Caenorhabditis elegans: one gene and its partner. The protein of the gene in region 1 purifies or fractionates together with the protein of each later gene. This does not show direct contact. Each region holds a gene or a part of one and is shown in the gene's direction. Other genes may lie near its edges. The genes, in order: F17B5.1 and disl-2.

Region 1 (5,932 bases):
CTGAAAATGGTCAAGTGGCGCAGTGCGTTTCTCGACGGCCACTAATCACAAGACCGGGGTTCGAATTCGCATTGTGGAATAATTTTTTTACAGTACTACTTGACTAATTTGATAGCTCTGTATTCGAAAAAAGCACTCCAAATTCACTTCGATATCGTAAAATTTCATAAATTCCAACTTTTTTCAAGGAAAAATGTCCGAATGGCTCAGTGAGTTTTTGGCCGGCCACCAGTCTAACGACCAGAGTTCGAGTCCGCACTGTGGCATAATTTTTTTGTTTTAGTCTGATTCGACTAATTTGATGGTTTTTCATTCTGAAAGCATTGTTTAACATCAAGGTGTATAGTTTTATTAATGATGTCATAGTATTAACAATTGAAGAGATTGTAAAGAAGCAAATGAATATGACAAATAATCGGTAAAAACCTCTTTTTTGCATTGCACAGGTTGTTTGAAAAAAGTTGGGGTTTACTCTAAGAAACTAGTGGAAAGTGTAGAGAAATAGCGAATTCAGAGGAAAAAAACACAAACATTTGTCATATTCTCTAAATTGAAGGCGGAGTAGAGTGAATTACTATTTTTAGTATTCGCAAATTCAAGCTACTCCACCTTTAAAACAAGATTATCTATCTATCTACATCTACAGACAAAACCACAACCGCAGTAGGTAGAGCAATCATTGGATCGTGAAGGAGCACAATATCCTGAGTTCGCGTTATAATAGTATCTACAGTTGCTATTGCAATCTGTGACTCTACCACGAGTACTAAGATATCGATATCCCTTAATAGCGTTGCGTTCGAGTGGCGAGTCAAATTGGTATCCCATAAACGATGATCGTCCATTCAAGCCTTTGCCTACCTTCCAGTCATACCAAGGATCTTTACAATTTACTGTCATCGAGAGCACAAATAAAGCCAAAAGACAGAAGGAAGTCGAGTGCCCAAACATTTTCCAACTTTGTTCTGAAGTTCGTACAAAATTTCTGAGTATATTCTAATAAACTCGAAATGGCACCGAGAAACCCAGTGTCATAAAGAGATTGCTTTTGTTTTTTCATTGGTTTTCTTCTGTTTAGACTAACAGAAAAGAATAGAAAAGCTATAGTTCAGCAGAATTGGTAAACTTTCAGGTTTTTGCTGAATCTAGATGTTTTAAACAAATGTTTGAACCTCCATGAAGTTTTCTTGAATTTTTTTTATAAATTTTATCATGAAAACGGTTTCAGGAACCATTCCAAGTATATAATAGTAACACAGAATAAAATAAAGGAAAATTTTTTACTTACTATCAAGAGGCCGGTTAGATTGAACGAGTCCTTCACTATGGTGGAAGTAGCAGATAAAACTTCAACACGGATTCAGCTTTTAAACAAAGTGGGTGGGCATACAGTAGGCAGACAAATCTGTGGATTGGTGATTGAGAATAACAAAACTCAAAATTGTAATGTTAAATCAACAGGAAACTTGTCACGGTCAAGCACAGAGAGCGCATTTTTGCACATGTTTCTGGCTAGAAATAAGGCAAAGTGACACATTTGATCGCCGTGCAGGGGCAGCTGTTCAAAAAGTTGTTGACAATTATTAGTTGAAAAAAATATGACAATTGTTGTGCTCTCAATGATTGGGAAGGTTCAAAAGTTCGAACAAATATATGTAGTTTAGTCCACCGACGCATGTTTTAATTCGAGGGACTAGGCAAATTTTGAAACAATCTGAAATGGGATACTAAACTTAGAAATTGATATTGAAAGTCAACAACTAGAGCACGAGCGAGCATCACAATTAACATTTCATAACCTTGTATTGTATGCCATATGATTTTATTTTCCATTTCCTAAAGAACGTGATCAAATTAAACAAAAGTACATTCAGAAAATTCCATTAATTTGAATTTAGAGATGTACTTTTACGAATCTATTTCAGAACAAATCACACAAAATTACTGATAAACTTTTTCATAGTTTTCACTTATTTGTTCAGTGTTGGCGAATGTTGAGTATAAGTTGTTTACGATAATTCGGTTTTGGTGATAAACTCCGTTTTTAAGGACGATAGAGAAGACCAAGTAGTTCGAACATTCATTTTTATTGAAGTTTGGGCTGCAAAATGACAGAGTCGATTGATGGAAACCCTTGGAGAATTCTCGAACTTGTGGCTGAGGTTAGTTATTGGAATCCTACTATGTAGTAAATATTTTAATTGAAAAATTTTCCGATTGAAATTTGGTTTTATCATTTCAAAGCCTGAGGGTAATCTCAATTCCTACCTGGTTAAAAACCCTTTTTTTCAGAATGAATATCATCTAGAACAAGACAATAATGTTGATCAACTTGAACAATTTTCTGTAATCCCCGGATTTCAAGAAGAACTTGTTGAATTTGCAAAGAAAAAACTATTGGATTCCATAGAAGTTCAACAATTTCTTGTGGAAAGAGATATTGAGTTTCAGGAGAAGTTAGTTATTCTCTATTTTTTTTTTCTAAATAAGAAAATAGTAATTAATTATAATTGTTATGTTTACAGGAATATTGCGTCACTGATAGATGAATTAAGTGATAATCAAGACGATGAGTCGAATTCCAAAGAAATACATTTGGAATTGAAATCTTCAAAAAACAAATATGAAGGTCTTAGAAAGAAGATCGCAAGTTTCAAAGGGAGACAACAGAAAGCTGTGGGATTTTTGAATTCTGGACTAGAGGAAATTCGAATTCTAACTTCTCCCAATGACAAATTTTGCTACAAAGTGAAGAATGCTTCTTGGAGGTGTTCGGTCGATAATTCCATTGATCTACAGAAGATCAAATTGATATGCGAGAAGTTAATCGGATTGGAAAAGAAAATGGAAGTTACATTTTGGACATCTGAGATCATGAAACTTCTAGAAAATCTTGATCAACGACATTATGCAGTAGCATTTGGGATTATTATTGGGATGGTAGGTTGCTAGAGATTTAGTATTCTTGCCTACAGTGATTTGCTCATTACAGGCAACTTGGGAATACGAAAACTCAGAAAAATATCATTTGCTGGCACTTATACACCTTTCAATTGGTAGAGATGAAACAAAGACGGATGTACTTCTGTATTGGGAGAATTGGGAGAATGAGTCAATTGAACAATCCATCGTTAGTTTGAGAATTTTGATGATTTTCTACATGAAAATAAGTATTGTGAGTTTGAAAGAATGCTCGTGGCAATTGTTGACTAAGAAATTATAGGATGATTTGGAGTGCAGGGAAAACTTTGAGTTCAGAATTTGCCAGGTAATCGTTTTCATTTTGGAGCACAAAGAGTTTGAGTCAAGCCACTTGACCATGATAACTGAACTCCTCGGAAGTATTGAACAACGATTTGGGAATTTCACGGAAATGTGTGACATTATGTTCACACATTTTGAAGCGAAAGCTCAGATGTTTGACAGGTTTGTTATTAAAATCTTTTTGATTGCTATCCAGGACTCTCACATTTCCTTCGACACTTGGAACGCACTTTTCGGCCAAACGCCGTTTCAAACTTTGTCAGGATTTTGGAAGACGTTGGTGAGACTATGAGCAGTAGGAGAAAATCGGATGTCTGTCCAACTTCTGCTCAATGTTTGAAACATTTCTAAAAAACTATCGGCGGACTTCTAGATTTTAAACTGATGAACCTTTTTTTGTAGCTATGAAGCAAAGATGCTAGTTTTCATGAGAAATGAGCATTTGTCTCTTCTCCAAACACAACACATCGACCAATGCATGGACACTCTGAATATTCTGATTTTATTGTACTTGAAAATAAAAATCGTGAGTTTGAAAGTAATTATCAGGACAATTTTTGATGAATAAGTTATAGGATAAGTGGACGTATAGAGAGATAATTGAACAAAGAATTTCTCAGTTCATCATTTGCATTTTGGAGCACACAGAGTTTCAGTCAATCCACTTGACACTTATAATTCAGCACCTTGAAAGTATCGAGCAACAATTCGGGTGCTTTTCTGGAAAGTTCGACAATATGTTCAAAATTTTTGAATTGAAGCTTCAGATTCTTGACAGGTTGGTTTTCAAAAATTTTTCCTTTTTTACAGTAACAGAGGAAAATGTTAACTCCGTTGTATGTTCACATAACGCTAACTTCCTCAATAAGATGAGGTTATAGCTTTGGTTGTTGTACTATTCAACTTCAACGTAGCCTTATGATTAAAAAAATTTCATTTTTCAGACCAGAACAAGAACGAGTTTCCAAATGGATAAAGTCGCTTTCTTTGCGTTCTTCAATCTCAGAGTTCTCGTCTGAACACTCTCATAGTACAGTTACAGTAATTGAGCACTCTGAGAAAACCTATGAGCTTGAACAAAACGTTCGAATTGACCTTGAGGAAACATTGAAATTGGAGAAAAGAATTGAAGAAGTATCGATAGAGGAATCCAAGAAGAAACAGGAGAAACTGGAGTTGAAGCAGAGAGAGGAGGAAGAAGCAAGAATCAAGGAAGAAGAAGAAAAACAAAGAAAGATTTTGGAAGAGGAAGCTAGGAAAAAACAGGAAGAGGAAGAAGCAAGGTTAAAAGCGGAGGAAGAATTGAAAATTTATGAAGAAGAAAAACGCAAGAAAGAGTTGGAAGAGGAAAGGAAGAAGAAGGAAGAACTGGAAATAAAACGGAAAGCTGAAGAAGAGAAGAAAAAAAAAGCTCTGGAAGAGGAAAAGAAAAGAAAAATCGCAGAAGAGAAAGCTAGGCAAAAACAGGAAAAAGAAAGAAAAAAGCAGGCGAATAAATGCACATTCCTCCAAAATTTCACATTTATCAGGCACCAACATCCATCTCAAACATATAACGAGCGAGTGCTCGATGGAAAAGTGGTTGGACTGTATTTCTCTGCTCATTGGTGTCCGCCATCTCGCGATTTCACTCCGGTTCTTGCACAATTCTATAGTCAAGTAGAGGATAACTTCGAAATACTATTCGTTTCGAGCGACAATAATACACAAGAAATGAACTTCTACTTGCAAAATTTCCATGGCGATTGGTTCCATTTGCCACTCAATTTGTGCAATTCAATGAAGCACCGAAATACCAAAAATCATATTCCTGCCTTAATAATAATGAAACCCGATGGAACAGTTATTACTGATGATGGACGAAATCTAGTTTCTCAATGGATCAACGATCCGAAAGCATTGGTCAACCATTGGAAAGCAATGTTGAACTGAAGTGCGAAAAGGATTTTTATGTTTCTGGTTCACTTTTATTTAATTTTTTTTTTCATTTTAAATGCTCTTTGTGTAGAAAATCTTCGCAAGTATTAGATCAGTTTTACTAATCTGCCTCTTCCTATATTAAATCCTGAAATTGCATTCTTGACAGAAATAAAAAATAAGGGCACGTTGTCGACATGGGGTGTCCCGAGAAATGTGACTGCACTTTGAGAGCTTATATCTTGGCTTAGGATTGGCGGTTTTTTGAGCAATTTGTTTCAATAGCTTACAAAAATAGCGCCTTCCATCGTCATCATTGTGGGGGGGGCGCTTTTGGGAAGGCTAAAACACTGATTTGAGCGGAATTCTGGAGTATGGTCGAAATGGATGTATTCTTTGTACTGACGAATTTCATGTTTTTTCAGCCCCAAATCTTCAGTTTTTCTGACATTTGGTTCCAATTTGTGCGCAAGAGAGAACTTCGTATTTCCAATTTTTTGAAACTATTTTGAAAAAAATTGGCCCACTTTCCAAAATGTAGACCATCATTCAATTTTTGCAAAATCAAAAAGATTAATTAAACGTGAAAAACTTTTCTACCACTCTCTCTCTTTCTCTATTTTTGGTGATGAATTCGATAATTTTCATTTCTTATTTTTAATAACGTGAGGAAAACTCAATTTTGAAGACTTTTCGAGATTTTTACTTTTTCCCAAATCTAATTGAGGGCCGCACTTTTTGAACATGTTGG
Region 2 (6,027 bases), on another chromosome or scaffold:
CTGGCTCATCATCTGCAACTCCGTTGGCGTCCAGGTCGGCTTCACGCTTTTTTGCTTGTCTTTCCTGAAATTTTTGATTTTTTTAGAATTGAATATTTATAAAACATCTTTTAAAAATTATCAAAATTTGGAAAAATACCAATTTTCTCCTTTTTATGTGTAATTTTAAAATTAAAAAATCTAGAAAACGTTATTTTATCGAATTTTCCGTCATTTTCGGCATTTTTTTCCAATAAGTTTATACAATTTTATCAGGGAGATTCTGCTGTGTTTTTTCTGAATTTATTTTAACGAAAAGGAAATGTCTTCGAATTGTGATACTATCGTCTAAAAACCTCGAATTCTAATTTTTTTATAGTTTTTAAACAAAATTTAATCTTTTTTAGAAGATTATATCACATCTAATTTAGAAAAATCAGCTGCAATCAAAATTTTAAATTGGTTTTCCGTTGTTACTCTGAAGAAATTCAAATTTTCAGGCGATTTTTGCTCAAATATTGTCCTCACCTTCCACTCTTTTCTACGCTTATCCATTTCGGCTTCAGCCTCTTCTCTCATTTCCGGTGCCATATCACTGGTTCCAATGATGTGTCTTGTCAAGAATTTTACCATTCCGAATCCCTTCAGACGATTCTTCTTGAAGATCGACTCAAGTGTGCTATCACAGATAATGTATTGTCCGTTTTTTGGATCCTTCAGATTATTTTCCTTAATATAATCCCAGAGAGCCTTCACCACATCGCAACGCTTCATCCACTGATCTTTGGTGACTTGTTGAAGCTCTGTGCTGATATAACAGAGCTTTGTCATTGGTCCAAAGACTCCAGACATATCTGCATTTGGATCCTTCACCTTCTTCTTCTTATTATTCGCAAATCTACCTCCTTCCGAGGTATTTCTGATCTGTTTCAGAGCGTCCGAAGCAGCAGCTCTTCTTGTAGATTTGATGCTTGATGCCATATCTGGTGGAATCCTTGTAGTAGTTTTCTTTCCTCTCTTCTTCCCGTCCATAACAGCATCTTCAACACCGCTATCCGAGTCGGAATCCTCTTTCACCTCTTTTTTAGCTTTTACTGGCAGCTCTTCTTTCTTGACTTTTTCTGTTTTCTCCTTCTTTTCCTCCCCTTCTTCATGATCACTATCACTGTCAGTTCCACCATCATCTGAACTATCTGAGCCATTTTCATCATTTCTTTTCTTAATTTCTTCGATAACCATCTTCTTAAGCTGCGATTTATAAGAGTCAAAGTTGATATTAAAACGATTCTGTAAAGTTTTTTGATAAATAGTTGCGGATTCCCACGCTTTGAACTCACATTCATATGCCTTACGATATCCGATGGAGTTAATTCGTCGAAACCTGGCTTGCGAACCAACAATGCGATTTCCTCCTCAGCAGCCTGAAAATTTACATGATTTTCTTTAAAATTGTGCAATAGATTACCTCCTTGTCCATGGGGAACGAAGAAATAGGCTCCTCAGTTGTCATTTTGACCTGGCTTGATTTTACCCGACAGCGATCTGAAAAAACCAAAAAAATCAATAACTTATCGTCTAATTGAATTTTAATTGGCGGACACGGTTTATGGGGTAATGTTGTATGATGAATAGGTTCAGATGGTAGTTGAACATGTATTTATTCAACTATAACTTGAAAATCTTTTAAAAAAATCGGGAAACAATTCGAATTCTTCGTGAAATTTTAAAAGGCCCGCCTCCCGAAACCGCGTTGACAAGAAAATAAAAGAGACGACTACGGTGAAAATTGTTATGTGCACGGTGTTTGCGGACTTGCATACCGTATCCTTTCCATATATTTCCATGTTGTTTTGATTGTACTTTTTGTAAATTTTTGTTGCGAAATTACACTTTCCTCTTTCCTCTCGTTTCTTCTCATAATTTCCCCCAAATTACCATTTATTCTAGATGTCAGCAGTTGAAAGTCCCGTTATTGTGACAGAGCCCGGTTCGTTGAAGCCGCAGGGCCTCACTCAGACAGCTACAGGCGGAAAGTTTGGTGCTGCCGCTACGTAAGTCATAATTTCACAAATTTCTCTACTAATCTTATGTTTTTCAGAGTCAAAACCACTCCAACAAAAGCAAAACCATATGTGAAGCCGCAAAATGCAAATAATTTGCAAAACAACTTCAATCCGCGGAAAATCTTCACCGAATACATATCAAAGGAGGAAACAGATGCCGGAATCGAAGACGGTTCAATGTTCAAAGGTGTCTTGCGGATAAATCCAAAAAACTATCAAGAATGTTTTTTGGATCATCCAAAAGGCACAAATCATCCAGATGTTCTTGTTTTGGGCCAAGATCGGAATCGTGCGATGCAAGGAGATGTGGTGGCTGTAAAGATCAAGCCAAAAGAGGATTGGCTTGTACGGTTTAATCATTTGAAAAAAACAACTAGAACTGATTTCATCCAAATAATACCTATTTTTCCACGAATCTTTTAGAGCTTTGTGGATATTCTTCCTGTAGATTACATAAATTTATTTTTAATTCTAGGAATTTAAAAATGAGAAAAAAGAAAACATCTAAAATCCATTAAAGCCTGCTAATTTCGAATAGTTATATGCAAATTATGTTCACAAAATCTGAATTCTTCGAGGAAAAAACTATTTTTCCAGGTAAACTATGTGGAATATGTGAAATGGTGGGCGGAGCACAAGAAAGGAGATCGAAATAGCGGCAAAACGGACAACAATAGCCCAAATAAAACAGAAAAACGATGTCTGCGCAACGAAATTCAAGACAATGGAGTTACAAGTGACGAAGTTCCCGATTCTTGTCTCATCACCATCGGAGCCATTGTTCATATCCTTGAGAAGAAACATTTCCGTGTAGCCGCCGGCAAGCTCCAGCTAATGCCAAACAGCGCGAATCCCAACGTGTTGTTCGTTGCTACAGATTCTCGTGTCCCTCGAATTCTCATTCCAAAATCCGATGTGGATAAGGAGTTCTTCTCACGCCCAAAGGACTTTGAGAGATTCCTTTACACAGCTAAGATCACTGATTGGCGCGCTGAATCTGTTTATGCCGATGGAAGACTCGTGAAGCTTCTTGGCATGTCCGGAGAAATCGATACAGAAACTGAAAGAATCGTCTACGAGCACCAAATCGATCACAGAGAGTTCAGCGACGAATGCCTCGAATCACTTCCAATCACTACAGCCGAAAACTGGAAGGTCCCTGATGCCGAGTTCGAGTACCGAAGAGATTTCCGAAGTGACATCGTTTTTACAATCGATCCAAAAACCGCTAGAGATCTCGACGATGCTCTTCACGCGAAACACATCGATGATTGTGACGGAAAAGGAACTCCAGGCCTTGAGATTGGAGTTCATATTGCTGATGTTACATTCTTCCTGAAAGAAGGTACAGAGCTTGACAAATGGGCATCCGAACGTGGAAATAGTACTTATCTATCACAAACTGTAATTCCAATGCTTCCAAGAATCCTCTGTGAGCAGCTGTGCTCTTTGAACCCTGGAGTCGATCGCCTCTCCTTCTCAACTGTATTCAAAATGAGCTACGAAGCCGAGCTGTATGATGTTTGGTTTGGAAGATCTGTTATCAGATCCCGTGTTAAACTTGCCTACGAACATGCACAGGATTTCATCGAGAACCCGGAGAAGGACTTCACATGCGACGAGCTTCCCGATATTTCAGATGGAAATACGCCTTTTGAGATCAAGGAAAAGACTCTGATGTTGCACAGAATCGCGCAAGTTCTTCGACAAAAGCGTGAAGATAGTGGAGCATTGCGGATCGAGCTTCCCAGATTGAAATTTGCATTGGATGAGGATAAGAAGCCACAAGGAGTTTCTATATACGAGGTTAATAAACAGTTTTTTGTTAAAGAAAATGTGTTTTTATATTAATTTTTGTTTTCAAACAGCAATTTTTTGGTCACATTTTTTCGGTTCTAGCAACAAAAAAGTAATCCATAAATTTAGATTTTCAAAAATCGGAAATTTAAAAAGAATTGCCAATTTTATAAAATACAAATGTTAAAATTTCAGATCAAAGATTCGAATAAACTCGTAGAAGAGTTCATGCTGCTCGCCAATATGGAAGTGGCTAAAAAGATCGCTGAAAATTTCCCAGAACACGCCCTTCTTCGTAATCACCCGCCACCAAAAGAGAAAATGATAAAGGACGTGGCTGAGCAATGTGCAAGAATTGGATTTCCATTGGACGGAAGAACGTCTGGATTACTTTCCACGTCACTTCGCAAGTATCAAGGAAAATCCCGTTTGGATATGTGCATTCGACAAGTAATTTCCTCATTGACAATTAAGCCAATGCAACAGGCGAAATATTTTTGCACTTTCGAGATGCCTCTTTCATTTTATCATCATTTTGCTCTCAACGTGGATCATTATACACATTTCACATCGCCAATTCGTCGGTATCCAGATGTGATTGTTCATCGACAACTTGCTGCTGCTCTTGGTTATAATGAAAGATCTGAAAGAGTTCCTGAAGAGATACAGGAGATTGTAAGTTTTCAAACACTCAAGAAATTTTTGCATTTAAATTTTCAGTGCACCCGCTGCAATGACACAAAGCTCGCATCGAAGGAAGCTTCGGATGAGTCTGCGATGCTCTATTTTGGAGTTTTCATCCATCAAACCGGTCCGATGAAGTGCCAAGCTGTTGTTCTTGGTGTAATGGATCTCTCATTCGACGTCCTCATCGTTGAGTATGGAGTTGTGAAGAGAGTTTATGTGGATGTGAGTATAGATTTCAAACAATGACGAAAAAAAAATCCGAATAATTTCAGAAAATGAAGCGAGACTTCAACAAATCGACCGAGAAGCTTACCATTTACTGGCCAGCAGATCCGAATGCGGAATCCGGAAACCGTGAAGAGTTTTCGAGCTCAATTCAAATGTGCAACGTGGTTTACGTGATTCTCGTGCCGTACAAAAGCATTGAAGTCAGCGCGACAATTGTTCGTCCGAGTCTCGAGCAACGTAATATTCTCAAGTCGACTCTCAAGGACATGAAAGAAACGGGCTCAACAATTCTTCAGTAGTCATTCGGATTCAGTGATCTCCTCCAGCAAAAGCTTTTTTTCCTTTTTCAATCCTTTTTTCCCCTTTTTCTATCCTTTTTTTCCCTTTTTCTATCCTTTTTTTTCTCCTTTATCCTTTTTTTCTTTAAATTCCATTTTCCCGTTGTATTTTTTAAAACGCGTGTCCATTCCTCGTCCCGGTTACTTTTGGTGTCGAATGAAAATGCATTATTCAATATTACTAGCGAAACTTTTATTTGACAAGTTTTGGGTGTTAACTGTCACGTAACTCGTTAAGAAAATTAGAAACTAGAGAAATATAGGACAATTGAGAAGTGCAGTTAAAATAATATGTATTGTTATCTATTCGATATCCATCATTGTCTGTCCCCAGATCATATTCGACTCGCATTGGTAGCTGACCGGTTTGGCGGTGAAGTTGAAGTACTGACGGTTGACCTTCAGATTGGAGCACATTTCGAGGAAAAGCTCCATGTTCGTGTCAGAGACGCAGCCATGAACGTTGAGATAAACGAGCGAAGGCTTACTGTTGAAGTGTCTGGAAATGTTTTGTTTAAATAAATTAAACTAATTTTCAAATAAACTCACACAACCATATTAGGGTCCAATCCGTAGCATCGATTGAGAGAAATTGTCGTAAGTCTCGGGAATTTGTTCAGAATCACTGCGAGGCCTGGATCACTAATCTCGACGTTATCCGACAAGTCGAGGTCGGTGACGTAGTTGGATTTTGCGGCGAGAATCTCAATATCTGGAATTTTTTACAGAAAATTAGAAGATTCTGACAACAGAGCCGCTCACGTTTATTGTTGATGCCGAAGTTTCGAACTGTTCCCGAGAGATTCAACTTTTTGAGCTTCTCGCCAATGGAATGAATGATTACGGTCACAATTGGCTGTGTTAATCCACACCACGCCAGATTCAGTTGTTGCAGGCTGAAAAAAATATTACGAAGGTGCACGGGAACAAGAAAT

Evidence for each region.
Region 2: the proteins of F17B5.1 (region 1) and disl-2 fractionate together in Caenorhabditis elegans (co-fractionation; one large-scale study listed by BioGRID). This does not show direct contact.

The regions. Positions count from the first base shown.
Region 1 is NC_003279.8:13,182,822-13,188,753, forward strand, and holds F17B5.1 (protein-disulfide reductase), read left to right. Parts: upstream 1-2,030; 5' UTR 2,031-2,108; coding exon 2,109-2,162; intron 2,163-2,292; coding exon 2,293-2,456; intron 2,457-2,525; coding exon 2,526-2,940; intron 2,941-2,992; coding exon 2,993-3,175; intron 3,176-3,223; coding exon 3,224-3,426; exon of another isoform or gene 3,427-3,666; coding exon 3,667-3,790; intron 3,791-3,839; coding exon 3,840-4,042; intron 4,043-4,208; coding exon 4,209-5,196; 3' UTR 5,197-5,371; downstream 5,372-5,932. Other genes in the region: rgba-1 (Defensin-like protein), read right to left, coding at 631-951.
Region 2 is NC_003281.10:5,441,241-5,447,267, forward strand, and holds disl-2 (DIS3-like exonuclease 2), read left to right. Parts: upstream 1-1,926; coding exon 1,927-2,030; intron 2,031-2,077; coding exon 2,078-2,387; intron 2,388-2,639; coding exon 2,640-3,848; intron 3,849-4,034; coding exon 4,035-4,514; intron 4,515-4,559; coding exon 4,560-4,748; intron 4,749-4,798; coding exon 4,799-5,053; 3' UTR 5,054-5,266; downstream 5,267-6,027. Other genes in the region: T24G10.2 (DM2 domain-containing protein), read right to left, coding at 1-64, 508-1,266, 1,317-1,400, 1,445-1,489; skpt-1 (F-box domain-containing protein), read right to left, coding at 5,396-5,591, 5,642-5,804, 5,855-5,988. UniProt on the Caenorhabditis elegans protein: 3'-5'-exoribonuclease that specifically recognizes RNAs polyuridylated at their 3' end and mediates their degradation.